Rattus norvegicus: one gene and its partners. The protein of the gene in region 2 binds, or shares a complex with, the protein of the main gene of each other region. Links are inferred from orthologs where the notes say so. Each region holds a gene or a part of one and is shown on either strand. Other genes may lie near its edges.

Evidence for each region.
Region 1: the proteins of Lck (region 2) and Cd4 are in contact, whole or in part, in an NMR structure (PDB 1Q68), measured with the Homo sapiens proteins. The link is inferred for Rattus norvegicus from reciprocal best matches to the Homo sapiens genes LCK and CD4. Residues at the interface, in NP_001036236.1 of Homo sapiens: Glu15, Ile17, Val19, Cys20, Asn22, Cys23, Tyr25, Pro26, Ile27, Val28; in NP_000607.1 of Homo sapiens: Ala429, Arg431, Ile435, Leu438, Leu439, Lys443, Thr444, Cys445, Gln446, Cys447.
Region 3: the proteins of Lck (region 2) and Cd8a are in contact, whole or in part, in an NMR structure (PDB 1Q69), measured with the Homo sapiens proteins. The link is inferred for Rattus norvegicus from reciprocal best matches to the Homo sapiens genes LCK and CD8A. Residues at the interface, in NP_001036236.1 of Homo sapiens: Cys20, Asn22, Cys23, Tyr25, Pro26, Ile27, Val28; in NP_001139345.1 of Homo sapiens: Arg212, Arg213, Val214, Cys215, Lys216, Cys217.

Annotation. Positions count from the first base shown.
Region 1 is NC_086022.1:159,378,651-159,383,013, reverse strand, and holds the start of Cd4 (T-cell surface glycoprotein CD4 precursor), read left to right. Parts: upstream 1-1,552; 5' UTR 1,553-1,573; intron 1,574-4,363. UniProt on the Homo sapiens protein: Integral membrane glycoprotein that plays an essential role in the immune response and serves multiple functions in responses against both external and internal offenses.
Region 2 is NC_086023.1:147,171,999-147,174,706, forward strand, and holds the end of Lck (proto-oncogene tyrosine-protein kinase LCK), read right to left. Parts: intron 1,268-2,708; coding exon 1,065-1,267; 3' UTR 644-1,064; downstream 1-643. UniProt on the Homo sapiens protein: Non-receptor tyrosine-protein kinase that plays an essential role in the selection and maturation of developing T-cells in the thymus and in the function of mature T-cells. Plays a key role in T-cell antigen receptor (TCR)-linked signal transduction pathways.
Region 3 is NC_086022.1:104,922,601-104,926,953, forward strand, and holds the start of Cd8a (T-cell surface glycoprotein CD8 alpha chain precursor), read left to right. Parts: upstream 1-1,515; 5' UTR 1,516-1,521; coding exon 1,522-1,570; intron 1,571-1,656; coding exon 1,657-2,022; intron 2,023-2,502; coding exon 2,503-2,616; intron 2,617-2,783; coding exon 2,784-2,894; intron 2,895-4,026; coding exon 4,027-4,057; intron 4,058-4,353. UniProt on the Homo sapiens protein: Integral membrane glycoprotein that plays an essential role in the immune response and serves multiple functions in responses against both external and internal offenses. In T-cells, functions primarily as a coreceptor for MHC class I molecule:peptide complex.

The DNA of each region.
Region 1 (4,363 bases), on a different chromosome or scaffold from region 2:
CTTTTTTTTTTAAAGATTTATTTACTTATTTATTATACAGAAGTACACTGTAGCTGTCTTCAGACACACCAGAAGAGGGTATCAGATCCCATTACAGATGGTTGTGAGCCACCATGTGGTTGCTGGGATTTGAACTCAGGATCTCTAGAAGAGCAGTTAGTGCTCTTAACTACTGAGCCATCTCTACAGTCCCCCTGACATGGGCTTTTAAAACCTTAAAGCCCTCCCTCAGTGAAATACTTCCTCCAATAAGGCCACACTTCTTAATCCTTCCAATCCTTTCAAATGGTGCTGCTTTCTAGTGACTAAGCATTCAAATAGATGAACCTATTAGGGTAATTCTTAGTCAAATCACCACAGTCTGGTAAACACCCGAGTGGAGTGGAGATGTCCTGCAGGAAGGTGGGCGTGTACCTGCAGAGTTTAGGTGAGATCTGGGCTAGAGGAGAATATGGGGAATATTAGCAATAGTATGCTCCCCATTCATTCCTGTCTTCTCAGATGTCCATATTTCGATCCAGGCCTCTCTGCCGCAGCAGGCCAGATACACGGTCTGCTGATCACAGCCCTGGAAGAAGCCACATTGCACAGATGTGCTCAGGGGTATGTAATGAGAATCCCTCGGAGGGATCACCACAGCTGCTCTCAAATTGTCACTAAAGGAAGTGTAGCATGTTTGCTTACCTGTCCAAAAACAGTGACCCTACTCTCCTGTAAGGGGGGGTATACAGTCTAAATGGCTTCTTCATGCCTTTTCCATAGAGGAGATACACAAGATTCTCATCATGCATGCTTTTAGCATCTTGGCCATATGCTACCCACTTGGTCTTCAGCAATGGCGGAAGGGAAAACCACTATGCCTTTAGCTGTCACAGAGCCATGTTGACCCTTGCTGTTTCCCTCTAGGCTCTCTGAACATCTCTAAACTGCTGACTTAGTGGATTGGTTGGGCAATGAAATCTAAATTTTCCATTGATGAAATTTTTTGACAACTTTTTTTTTTCTTCTTCTTTTTTTTTTTCGGAGCTGGGGACCGAACCCAGGGCCTTCCGCTTGCTAGGCAAGCGCTCTACCACTGAGCTAAATCCCCAACCCCTACAACTTTTTATTTTCTTTTTGATGTGGCATTACTACATAAACAGCCCAGTCTGGCCTTGAGCTTGTGATTCTTCGGCCTAAGTCACCTAAGTGCTGGGGTCACAGTTATGTGCCCCTAAGCCTTTCCTCAGGCCAGCCCGACCAGGCTGTGCCAGCCTTTTTACTTCCCCAAACAGCATTGACATTCCAAACTGCAGCCTGATTCTGCTTGGTTATTTCCAATGACTTTGGCATTTTTAATTTGTCAACTTCCCCAACAACTGGGGGTAGAAGGGAGGGACTCCTGAGGGCTGGCTCACGTCCGCCGCTGTGTAGAGGAGCCTCGCCACCAGGCTTCCTGTCTTTTCATTTACGAACATCTGTGAAGACATAGCAAGACTGTCTTCTTCACTAGGCACCTGTCTGCAAGGCCTCGAGCCCTCCTATAGACACACCTGTGCAAGAAGCAGAGCGAAGAAGGAAGGACTGGCCAGAGGTAAGAGGGACGTGTTCAACTTCGTTCTTTCGAGGAGCTGGAAGGGGCAGCCGATGTGCTGGAATGTTCTGGATGCGGTTCTCTGTTCCCAGTTGTGGCCTGGAGTTCTCCCATACTCCTCTTAGAACAGGTCATGGACAGTGACCTCCCACTGGAATCATGAGGTTCGAAAGGCTCGGCAGTAAGCATTGCTCATCTTTGCCAGTCACTGCCCGCCAAGCATAGTTTAGTGCTCAGAGCAGTAGGTGTCCCCTCGACGCACCCCAGCTAGAATGCAAAGTCAGAGGGGTGATGGCTGGGAGCTAGAAAAGGCAGCTGGGAGACGGTGGGAAGGGTGAAGCCGGGGAGAGAGAAAATGCAGAAGTATTTAAGCAAAGGACAGAAAATCAGAAAGAAGGAACAGATATTGAGAATGGTGGAGACACTAAGAAATGAAAAAAGAAACCGTGAACACAAGAAAAACAAATAAAAAGCAGAGTAAAAAGGTGGACTACATGCCATTTAAAAAAAAAAAAAAACAAAAAACAAAAAACAAAAAACAAAAACTACTTTGCAAAACACCAAGGATCATACACTTAAGAGCAATGCAAGCCACATGGTCCGTTTTTGGCCTCGCTCAGTTTCTTCTGTGTTCACGTGAGCTGTGGACCTCTTGTTATCTTCTGTGGACTTTTAGGATCTTGGTTTGTTGTGTTTTGTTTCTGAGGTCTCACTGTGTTGCCTGGGCTGGTCTCAATATCCTGGGCTCAGGTGATCCTTTTACCTCAGCTTTCCTGGTAGCTGGGATGGAGGCACATGCTGCTACATCTGGACTGATACTTAGGGTTTTTGAAATGTTCTAAGGGGACTGACTCTGTTTTAGTTACCCTGAGTTAGGAGATGGGGAAGGTAATTTATCAGAAAATGTTAAAACTGACCTCTTATCTATGAATTGCTGTAAAGGGATACTCTCCTCTCTCTCTCTCTCTCTCTCTCTCTCTCTCTCTCTCTCTCTCTCTCTCTCGTTAGAATAATTAATTCTAAGAGAATTCGTCTTGGCTACAGACCCCAGTGGTCTTGGTACAAAGTGGGCATAAGGTAGAACTCGGGGCTGGGGATTTAGCTCAGTGGTAGAGCGCTTACCTAGGAAGCGCAAGGCCCTGGGTTCGGTCCCCAGCTCCGAAAAAAAGAACCAAAAAAAAAAAAAAAAAAAAAAAAGGTAGAACTCTATTTCTCAAGACAGGGTGAGCTGTTCAACTCTGGCCCCCTGACTTCAGACCCTCAGACCTTTCTCCTCTCCTACAGCCACATGGTCTTGAAGTCCTGTTGTACCCATGGATGATGTCCTTCAGTTCATAGACTTGTTCCCGGAGAGTGGTTTCCTGAGGTTCAGTCTGATTCTTCATAATAGAAAGGTTCCGTCTTGATAATTCAAAAACTCTATTGAGTGGAATAGAGGAATGTCCTGGTCTTGTAGGGAACTTTATTTATTTATTTTATTTATTTAATGTCGTAAGCAAGGCCGGGAGAACCTGATGACAGAGACCAGTGCTGTTTCATGTTCTGACCATTTCTGGTGCTATCTGAGATTCTGAAGGTTGATACAAAATGGCCGCCCCGCTAATGAAAGATCCCCTGAGGAGCCAGATACTCAGAACCAGTTTTCCCTTTCAACCGGAGGCCCTCATAGAAGAGGCCTGCCTCTAAGTGCAAAATCTTCCCCCACAATCAACCATACTAGGCAGAGGCTCGAAGTGGCCTTGGGTCTTGCTCTTGACCACAGTGGTGAAGAGGCAGTGGTTGGGAGTTGGGTGGCCATGTCTGGCATGTCTTAGACACGTAGTAAACATTTGTTGGGTTAAATACCTTGGATGGAGATGGGAAATGTTATGATGGAGGGGAGGATGTGTATACGAGCATCTGTAGGGCGTGCATGTTCAGTGCTTTCAGAGACAAGAGCAGCAGGGGGTACAGACCCCCCCACCCACTGCCACCCACCCTTTGCGCGTGGGCATCTGAGGCAGAGGAGAGGGTGGCAGAGGTTGCAGCCACTGAACCACAAGGGTCGCTTAGAGGGTCACATCTCTAGGAAGTTTATACAAAGCTAGTCAGCAGAGGAAGGGTGTGTGGTGAGGGGGCACAGCCCACAACTGGGCTAGAGTGGGCTGACTGGGGACCATGAGGAGAAGATGAAAACGCCTTCAGGACCACAGGCTGTCGTTGTGGTGGGGCTGTGCTGGAGCTGTGCCCTCCTCTCCCATCTCTGGGGGCCCTGTGAGGGTGGCAGGAACCCCAAGCATCTTGAAAGGTGTGTGGTATGTATTGTCACTCGGTAACATCCCTTGTGTGGTCTCTCTCTGTGTTCCTTTGGTGTTGTGTTCTCTGCATGCATCTTGCCTTCCACAATCCCTTCATTTCTATGCCTCTCCCCTGTCATTTCTGACAGGCCCTGTGCTTTTTGTGTGGTAATGGATCCTGTGAAAGGTGGCTGTGGCTTTGCTGACCTTTTTCTGAGTCTCTTTCTCCTTCGCTCCTGTCTTCCCTCGAGGCCTCTGTGGTTGGTTTTTGCTGTTGTTGTTATTTGTTTTTTGTTGTTGTCTTGTTTTGTTTTGTTTGTCTAGAAAACATGTCCACCTTCTTGGTCCACTGTGTCGTCCCCCCTGCCCCGCACCCTCTCTGCAGCCAATCCCTCTCACATCATCCCCTCGGGTCCAGCCTATATTCTGCAGCTTCCTGTCAGATCAAAGCTCCTGGAAGACTTGCTACTGGCCTGCCGGAAGCTAGGCAGCTTGTTTACAGGGTAGAAGGAAC
Region 2 (2,708 bases):
ACTTTGCCTAGGAAACCAACTGTTTCTCCTTGCCCTTTAAACTTTTTTTTTAAATTTTTTTTAAATTTTTTTATTCATTTATCATATATAAGTACACTGTAGCTGTCTTCAGACACACCAGAAGAGGGCATCGGATCTCTTTACAGATGGTTGTGAGCCACCATGTGGTTGCTGGGAATTGAACTCAGGACCTCGAGAAGAGTAGTCGGGTGCTCTTAACCGCTGAGCCATCTCTCCAGCCCCCTTTAAACTTTTGAACCTGGTTTTTTCCTATAAAAAGTCTACTCTGAGAGCAGACTAGTGTCACAATTATGTTTTTCCCTCTTGAGGACCTGGACATCCAGTATTATGGTATGCACTCAATAAACTATTCTTGTTTAACTCCGGTGGTGTGCATGGTATGTGTAGGGACTCCCCAGTCTCCGGGGGGTTGACTCCCAACCACCAGGGCTTCACACCATGTTTTACATGGTAATGGTGCTTCCCTTGTTCAGTGGAGACACACTTACATTACAGGAGAAACAGCCTGTAGCGATCACAGCAAGAGAACCTAGGCCAGGTGGTCCACCAGCAACCCCAGTCTCTCTCATCCGACCCCCCCACTATCTGCCACAAAGAAATGAAGTGTGCGGTAGAAAACTGTACAGCCTTAATTGAACAGACTTTTATTGAGCTCCTGGTGTGTGGTACCACCAAGGCACAGCACACAGAGACATTAGATTGGATGGCAGCCCACAAGGAGGGCCTTCCTGGAGGCCCCCAGAAAGGCAGTGGTAGACAGACACATGCAGCAATCACAAGCCTTCTCCTCTCTGTGGTTTCAGAAAATGGAATGGAAAGAGACACCTTAGGTGGTCTCTAAGACTTAGACTCACATGTTCCATGGGTATAAGGCACATGTGTAGAACCCACATAACTACGGATGTGTGTATGAGACAAAAACGGCTATGTATGGCACACGCACAGGCTTCACGTGCCGAGTCGGAGTCCACGTGTGCACAGGCCGCATGGATAGGGCACAAGAACTCCAGAGGGATAGGGGAGGATCTTGGGACCGCAAGGCCTCAAGGCTGGGGCTGGTACTGGCCCTCTGTGGCTGTGAAGAAGTCATCCAGAACGCTCCGAAGGTAGTCAAACGTGGGCCTGTCCTCTGGGCGCTCCTTCCAGCACAGCATCATGAGGTGGTACAGCTCTTCCGGGCAGTTGTCAGGTCGCACCATTCGGTAGCCTTTTTCCAGGTTCTGAATGACTTCAGGGTTGGTCATTCCTGGAAGGCAGACGGAACCTCAGCCTCTAAGCTTTGGAAACCTAAGAGCAAAGCTAATGCTAAACTGGATTTTTCTCTTTTCTTTCTTTCTTTCTCTCTTTTTTTTCTGTTGTTGTTTGTTTGTTTGTTTGTTTGTTTTTGAGACAGGGTTTCTCTGTGTGGCTCTGGCTATCTTGGAACTCACTCTGTAGACCAGGCTGGCCTCAAACTTATAGAGACCCTGCCTCAGCCTCCCAATGCTAGGATTAAAGAAATGTACCACCACAGCTGGCTTGCTCTGTCTGTCTGTCTATCTGCTTGTCTGTCTGTCTGTCTATCTATCTATCTATCTATCTATCTATCTATCTATCTATCTATCATCTACTTCTATAGTACTTGGAATTGAACACAGGACCTCACACACATTAAATGGGCACTCCATTATTGAGCTACAACCCCAGCCTACAGCTTGGATGTTGAATGTCTCCCCACGTGCTGTAAGCCTGGCCCCAATTCACGGCATTAGTGGGAGATTGTAGAACCTTTAAGAAATGGGATCCAAGGTGCTAGAGAGATGGCTCAGTGGTTAAGAGCACTGACTGCTCGGGCTGGAGAGATTGCTCAGTGGTTAAGAGCCCTGACTGCTCTTTCAGAGGTCCTGAGTTCAATTCCCAGCAACCACATGGTGGCTCACAACCATCTGTAATGAGATCTGGTGTGTCTGAAGACAGCTACAGTGTACTCGTATACATTAAATAAATAAATAAATAAATAAATAAATAAATAAATAAATCTTTAAGAGCACTGACTGCTCTTCCACAGGTCCTAAGTTCAAATCCCAGCAACCACATGGTGGCTCACAACCATCTGTAATGGGATCTGATGCCCTCTTCTGGTGTTTCTGAAGACAGTGTTCTCATATACATAAGTAAGTCTTAAGAAAGAAAGGAAGGAAGAAAGAAAGAAAGAAAGAAAGAAAGAAAGAAAGAAAGAAAGAAAGGGGGTCAAGATGGGAGTAGTGCCATCACTCAGAGGTAAAGAATCTTTGTGAGTTTGAGGCCAGCCTAGTCTACAGAGTTCTAAGACAGCCAGAATTCTACAGAGAAACAGTGTCTCAAGAAATCAAAAACAGGGTTGGGGATTTAGCTCAGTGGTAGAGCTCTTGCCTAGCAAGTGCAAGGCCCTGGGTTCAGTCCCCAGCTCCGAAAAAAAAAAAAAAAATCAAAAACAACAGTTAAAAAAAAAAGATTTGCCTGCCTCTGCCTCCCAAATTCTGGGATTAAAGGATGTACCAACACGCTCAGCAAACTTCTTTTAAAAAAATATTCTTGGGGTTGGGGATTTAGCTCAGTGGTAGAGCGCTTGCCTAGGAAGCACAAGGCCCTGGGTTCGGTCCCCAGCTCCGAAAAAAAGAACCAAAAAAAAAAAATATTCTTGGGCTGGAGAGATGGCTCAGCGGTTA
Region 3 (4,353 bases), on a different chromosome or scaffold from region 2:
ACAACCAAAAGCAAACCTCTTCAGAGGAGTGCAGTTCTGTAAACACAGGTTAGGATGTAACATCAACGACCCATACCGTCCAACCTTGTTTGTGTAAACTGAATGTCGTGGCTATACCCGGCACTGTGAAAGCTACAGCAACCAGACTGATACTGGGCAGAACTCTGATGTGAAGGCAGAGAATGCCAGGCAACCTGCCTCAAACTAGAATCAAGCAATAACGTGTGAGGTGCACCCTGAATGGGATTCTAAGTGGAAAACTCTACTAACTGCAAGCCATAGACAATCAAGAGGAAAGCACAATCCCGAGACTGGCAGCTTTCAGGACGGTAGTGAGCAAGAAGGAATGAAGTATATGTGTGCCAGGGACAGAGAAGAGTTAAATGCCTTCCCCAAGATCCAGCCAGGACACACACATGCATACATGCAACAGAGAAAAATCAAAGGTCCAAGTCAGAGGGCAGGGGCCCTGGCATTTGCCAGGCAGAGAGCAGCAAGAGCTTGGAAACTCAGGAGTAAGTAAGCAACAAAGGAAACATGTCTGTGAGGCAGCGACTTGCAGGTACATAGCAAAGCCAAGGACAGCAGCTTGAGGGAAGCCAGCACCTACCAAGGGCTAGTCCCCAACCAAGTCAGGGGGTTGTTTTCATCTAGCTCTGCTGGTCATGGGTGGTGCTGTCAGATCCCCTGGATAAGAATGAGGATCAAAGTATGTAGTGGGATCATCCAATTGGAGAGAATTTGTTGTGGAGTCTGTTGCCATGGTTCTAGAAGGGATGAGACTGGGAGGTGAGTCTTGCCCTCAGGGTGGCAGGCCAGGGAAGGATATTGTCAGCAGCTAAGAGTGCCACTCAAGGTTCCTGTTGAACTGCCCCTCTTGCAAATCCCTTTGATAAAAGGTGTAAGGCCCTTTTAGTTAATGTCTGGTCTACTTTGCTGGAATTCTGTAAGTTCTCTTTCCATTCAACTGCCAGGCAAAAAGCAAAAGGACAAAAAGACACTATTGCCAGCAAAAGAAGTAGAAGGGCAGGAAGGTCTAGAATTCAAGGCCAGCCTTTGCTGTAAAGTGAGTCTGAGGCAAGTTTGGGCTCCCCAAGACCTTGTCTACAAGAAAAAGAGAGTGGACACCCCTCTCCCTTCAAGTCCTGTCACTCTCATGTTATTTTACTAAGATTTCCTCTTTCTCCTTCTTTCAGCTGTTCTTGCAGAAGAACAATTGCCAAGGGCCCCTTTCCAAGCATTTCTCTTCCCCCATATCTCAGTTTTCAACTATCCCCTCTTGCTGTGCAAGGCCCCATTCTCTAGGTTCCCAGGCCCCTAGAGGGTGATAACTTCGAAAAGGAGGCTAACACTCTTTGGTGAGAGCATTGGGTGACATCATATCCTCATATAGGAAATCAGTTCTGTCTGCAGCCTGCTAAGGTTTTCTCACCCTCCACTCCTCCCCCCAACTCCCTCCCTGTTCCTGGGCCCCTCCCCTAGAGCCCTAGCTTGACCTAAGGTGCTGGTGGGACGCACACCATGGCCTCACGGGTGATCTGCTTTCTGTCGCTGAACCTGCTACTGCTGGGTGAGTTGATGATCCTGGTGGAGGGGGGCTGGAGCACATCAAGGGTTCGGGACGCCTGACTCAGCCTTCTTACCTGGCACCTGCAGATGTTATCACTAGGCTCCAGGTTTCCGGACAGTTACAGTTGTCACCAAAGAAAGTGGACGCTGAAATTGGCCAGGAGGTGAAGCTAACATGCGAAGTGCTGCGGGACACTTCGCAAGGATGCTCTTGGCTCTTCCGGAACTCCAGCTCCGAACTCCTCCAGCCCACCTTCATCATCTATGTATCTTCATCCCGGAGCAAGCTGAACGATATACTGGATCCGAATCTGTTCTCTGCCCGGAAGGAAAACAACAAATACATCCTCACCCTGAGCAAGTTCAGCACTAAAAACCAAGGCTACTATTTCTGCTCAATCACCAGCAACTCGGTGATGTACTTCAGTCCTCTGGTGCCGGTGTTTCAGAAAGGTTTGGGAGCGGAGGTCCCTTCCCCTGGGTTTTAAGGGTTACATCTGAACAGATTTCACACTTAGATTCCCTCTTCTTAAATCTCTTGGGGTCCCTTGGCGGCTACACTAGCCCCATTTTACAGACCAGAAAACTGAGGCTGAGGTGCTGGATGGGATTGGAAGTAACTTTTAACGCCCTGGATCTGGAATGGAGTCAGGATTCATGTGTAATCCTGCCCCTCTTGGCTCCAGGATAGAGTTCTGGTATTGACTCCAGCTTTCGGTTGATGGAGGGCCGCAGCCGCTAAGCTGCTGGATCTGGTCTAGGCGCATTGGCCCCAAATCACACTTGGTTCCGCGTGTGCGAGCGTATCCAGGAGTCCCTTCTTCCGGTAGTTAAAGCCAGAAAAAGGCTCCTTCTTGAGTAAAGGATAAGCGGAAAGCGGCTTGGGCATCCACAACTCCAGCCTGACCCGCAGGCACCCTGTTGCTTTTGCAGTGAACTCTATTATCACCAAGCCGGTGACGCGAGCTCCCACACCAGTGCCTCCTCCTACAGGGACACCCCGGCCCCTACGACCAGAAGCTTGCCGACCCGGGGCGAGTGGCTCAGGTTAGGTGACCTCAAGGTCAGCGATTGGGGTGGGCAGATAGCCTGGGAAGTTACTTGTGGAGGAAAAATCTGATCTTAGAGAGAGACCTGGACCCGGAGAAGTACTGGGAGCAGGGTTGGGGCTGTCGCAGCCGGTTTCTAAATTCCATTCACTTGGATCTTGTCAGTGGAGGGAATGGGATTGGGCTTCGCCTGCGATATTTACATCTGGGCACCCTTGGCCGGAATCTGCGCGGTTCTTCTGCTGTCCCTGGTCATCACTCTCATCTGCTGCCACAGTAAGTTCTGGGGAGTCCCCGCTTGGAGGAGATTGCTTTGTGCTCCGGGAGGAGTCAGTGCTTTGGTCGGGCTCCAGACAGCCCTTGAGGGAGATTAAGTTTAGGTTGGGGCGGGGGTGGGGAGGGGGAAGGGGCGACCAGGGGAGGGGGTGGGCGCTGCTCCAGCCGACCCGTAGGACCGGTGCAGTGGATTCTTTCTTGAAGGCAGGAAACAGGTAGGCCACCCCGCTGCTCTTTCCACCCTCTGGGAACTTATCGGAACAGAACCCTTTTCCGGGACCTCCAGGAGCTGATGAAGCAGAAGCTAGCACAGCCAAGATAATTTAAGCACACTAGGGAGGGAGCCTATGTAGTCCTGAGACCCGGGTCCAAGAAGGCTGAGTCCCACCTCACAAACCGCTCACTCCTCTGAGTCTATACAGGTGATTACACCAGCCAGGTCTACAGATTCCCAGATCCACTCACGTCTGCACTTACAATGCCTCTTCCTCACCAAGGAAGGGTTTCATTTCATGTTGTCTAGGCTAGCCAAAAACTAGTAGGTAGCTTAGGCTAACCCCAAACTTCTGATCTGATCCTTCTGCCTCCCTCCATTTGGGAGTGCTGGATGACAGGCATAGGCCACCAAACCAAATTTAAAATGTTTTATTTTATTTATGTATTTATAAAGGTCTATATAAGTACACTGTAGCTGTTTTCAGACACACCAGAAGAGGGCATCAGATCTCATTACAGATGGTTGGGAACCACCATGTGGTTGCTGGTATTTGAACTCAGTACCTCTGGAAGAGAAGTCAGAGCTCTTAACTGCTGAGCCATCTCTCCAGCCCTTATTTATACATTTATGTATTTATGTATGTATGTATTTATTTATTTTTAGAGATAGGGTTTCTCTGTGTAGCCCTGGCTGTCTGGGAGCTTGCTCTCTAGACCAGGCTGCCCTTGAACTCACAGAGATCCACCAGCCTCTGCCTCCCAAGTGATGGGAGTGACTACAGGAAAGAGTAGGCAACATAGTGTTCACTCCAAGTCTGAAGAATTCTGAGCCTCAAAGATCTGGAGAAGAGGAAGCTATTAAAACAGTATCTGGAGACAGCTAGAGGGTATTCACTCTCCCTTCTTCCTTGTCTAGGGAACCGAAGGCGTGTTTGCAAATGTCCCAGGTGAGTAAAGTCTCTGAACTGAAGTTCTGCTCACCCTGGGCAGCTGTGGGACCAGTGGCATGGCTGGTGGTTTGGGACTCCTTCCCAGCGGGAGGTCATACCAGTGAAGTCCTGGTGGCAGGGGACTAGGAGTCAGCCAGTACCTGAACAAGGAGCAGCAGAATGCTGGTGAGGTATTGGAATTCATTCCAGAGAAAAGGAAGGAGCACAGAAGGTCTCAGCGGGAGAGCAGCGGGAGATTGTGTTGCTTGGGGTGGACAGAGAGTAGAAAGACAAAAGCCTGGAAAAGGCTTTGT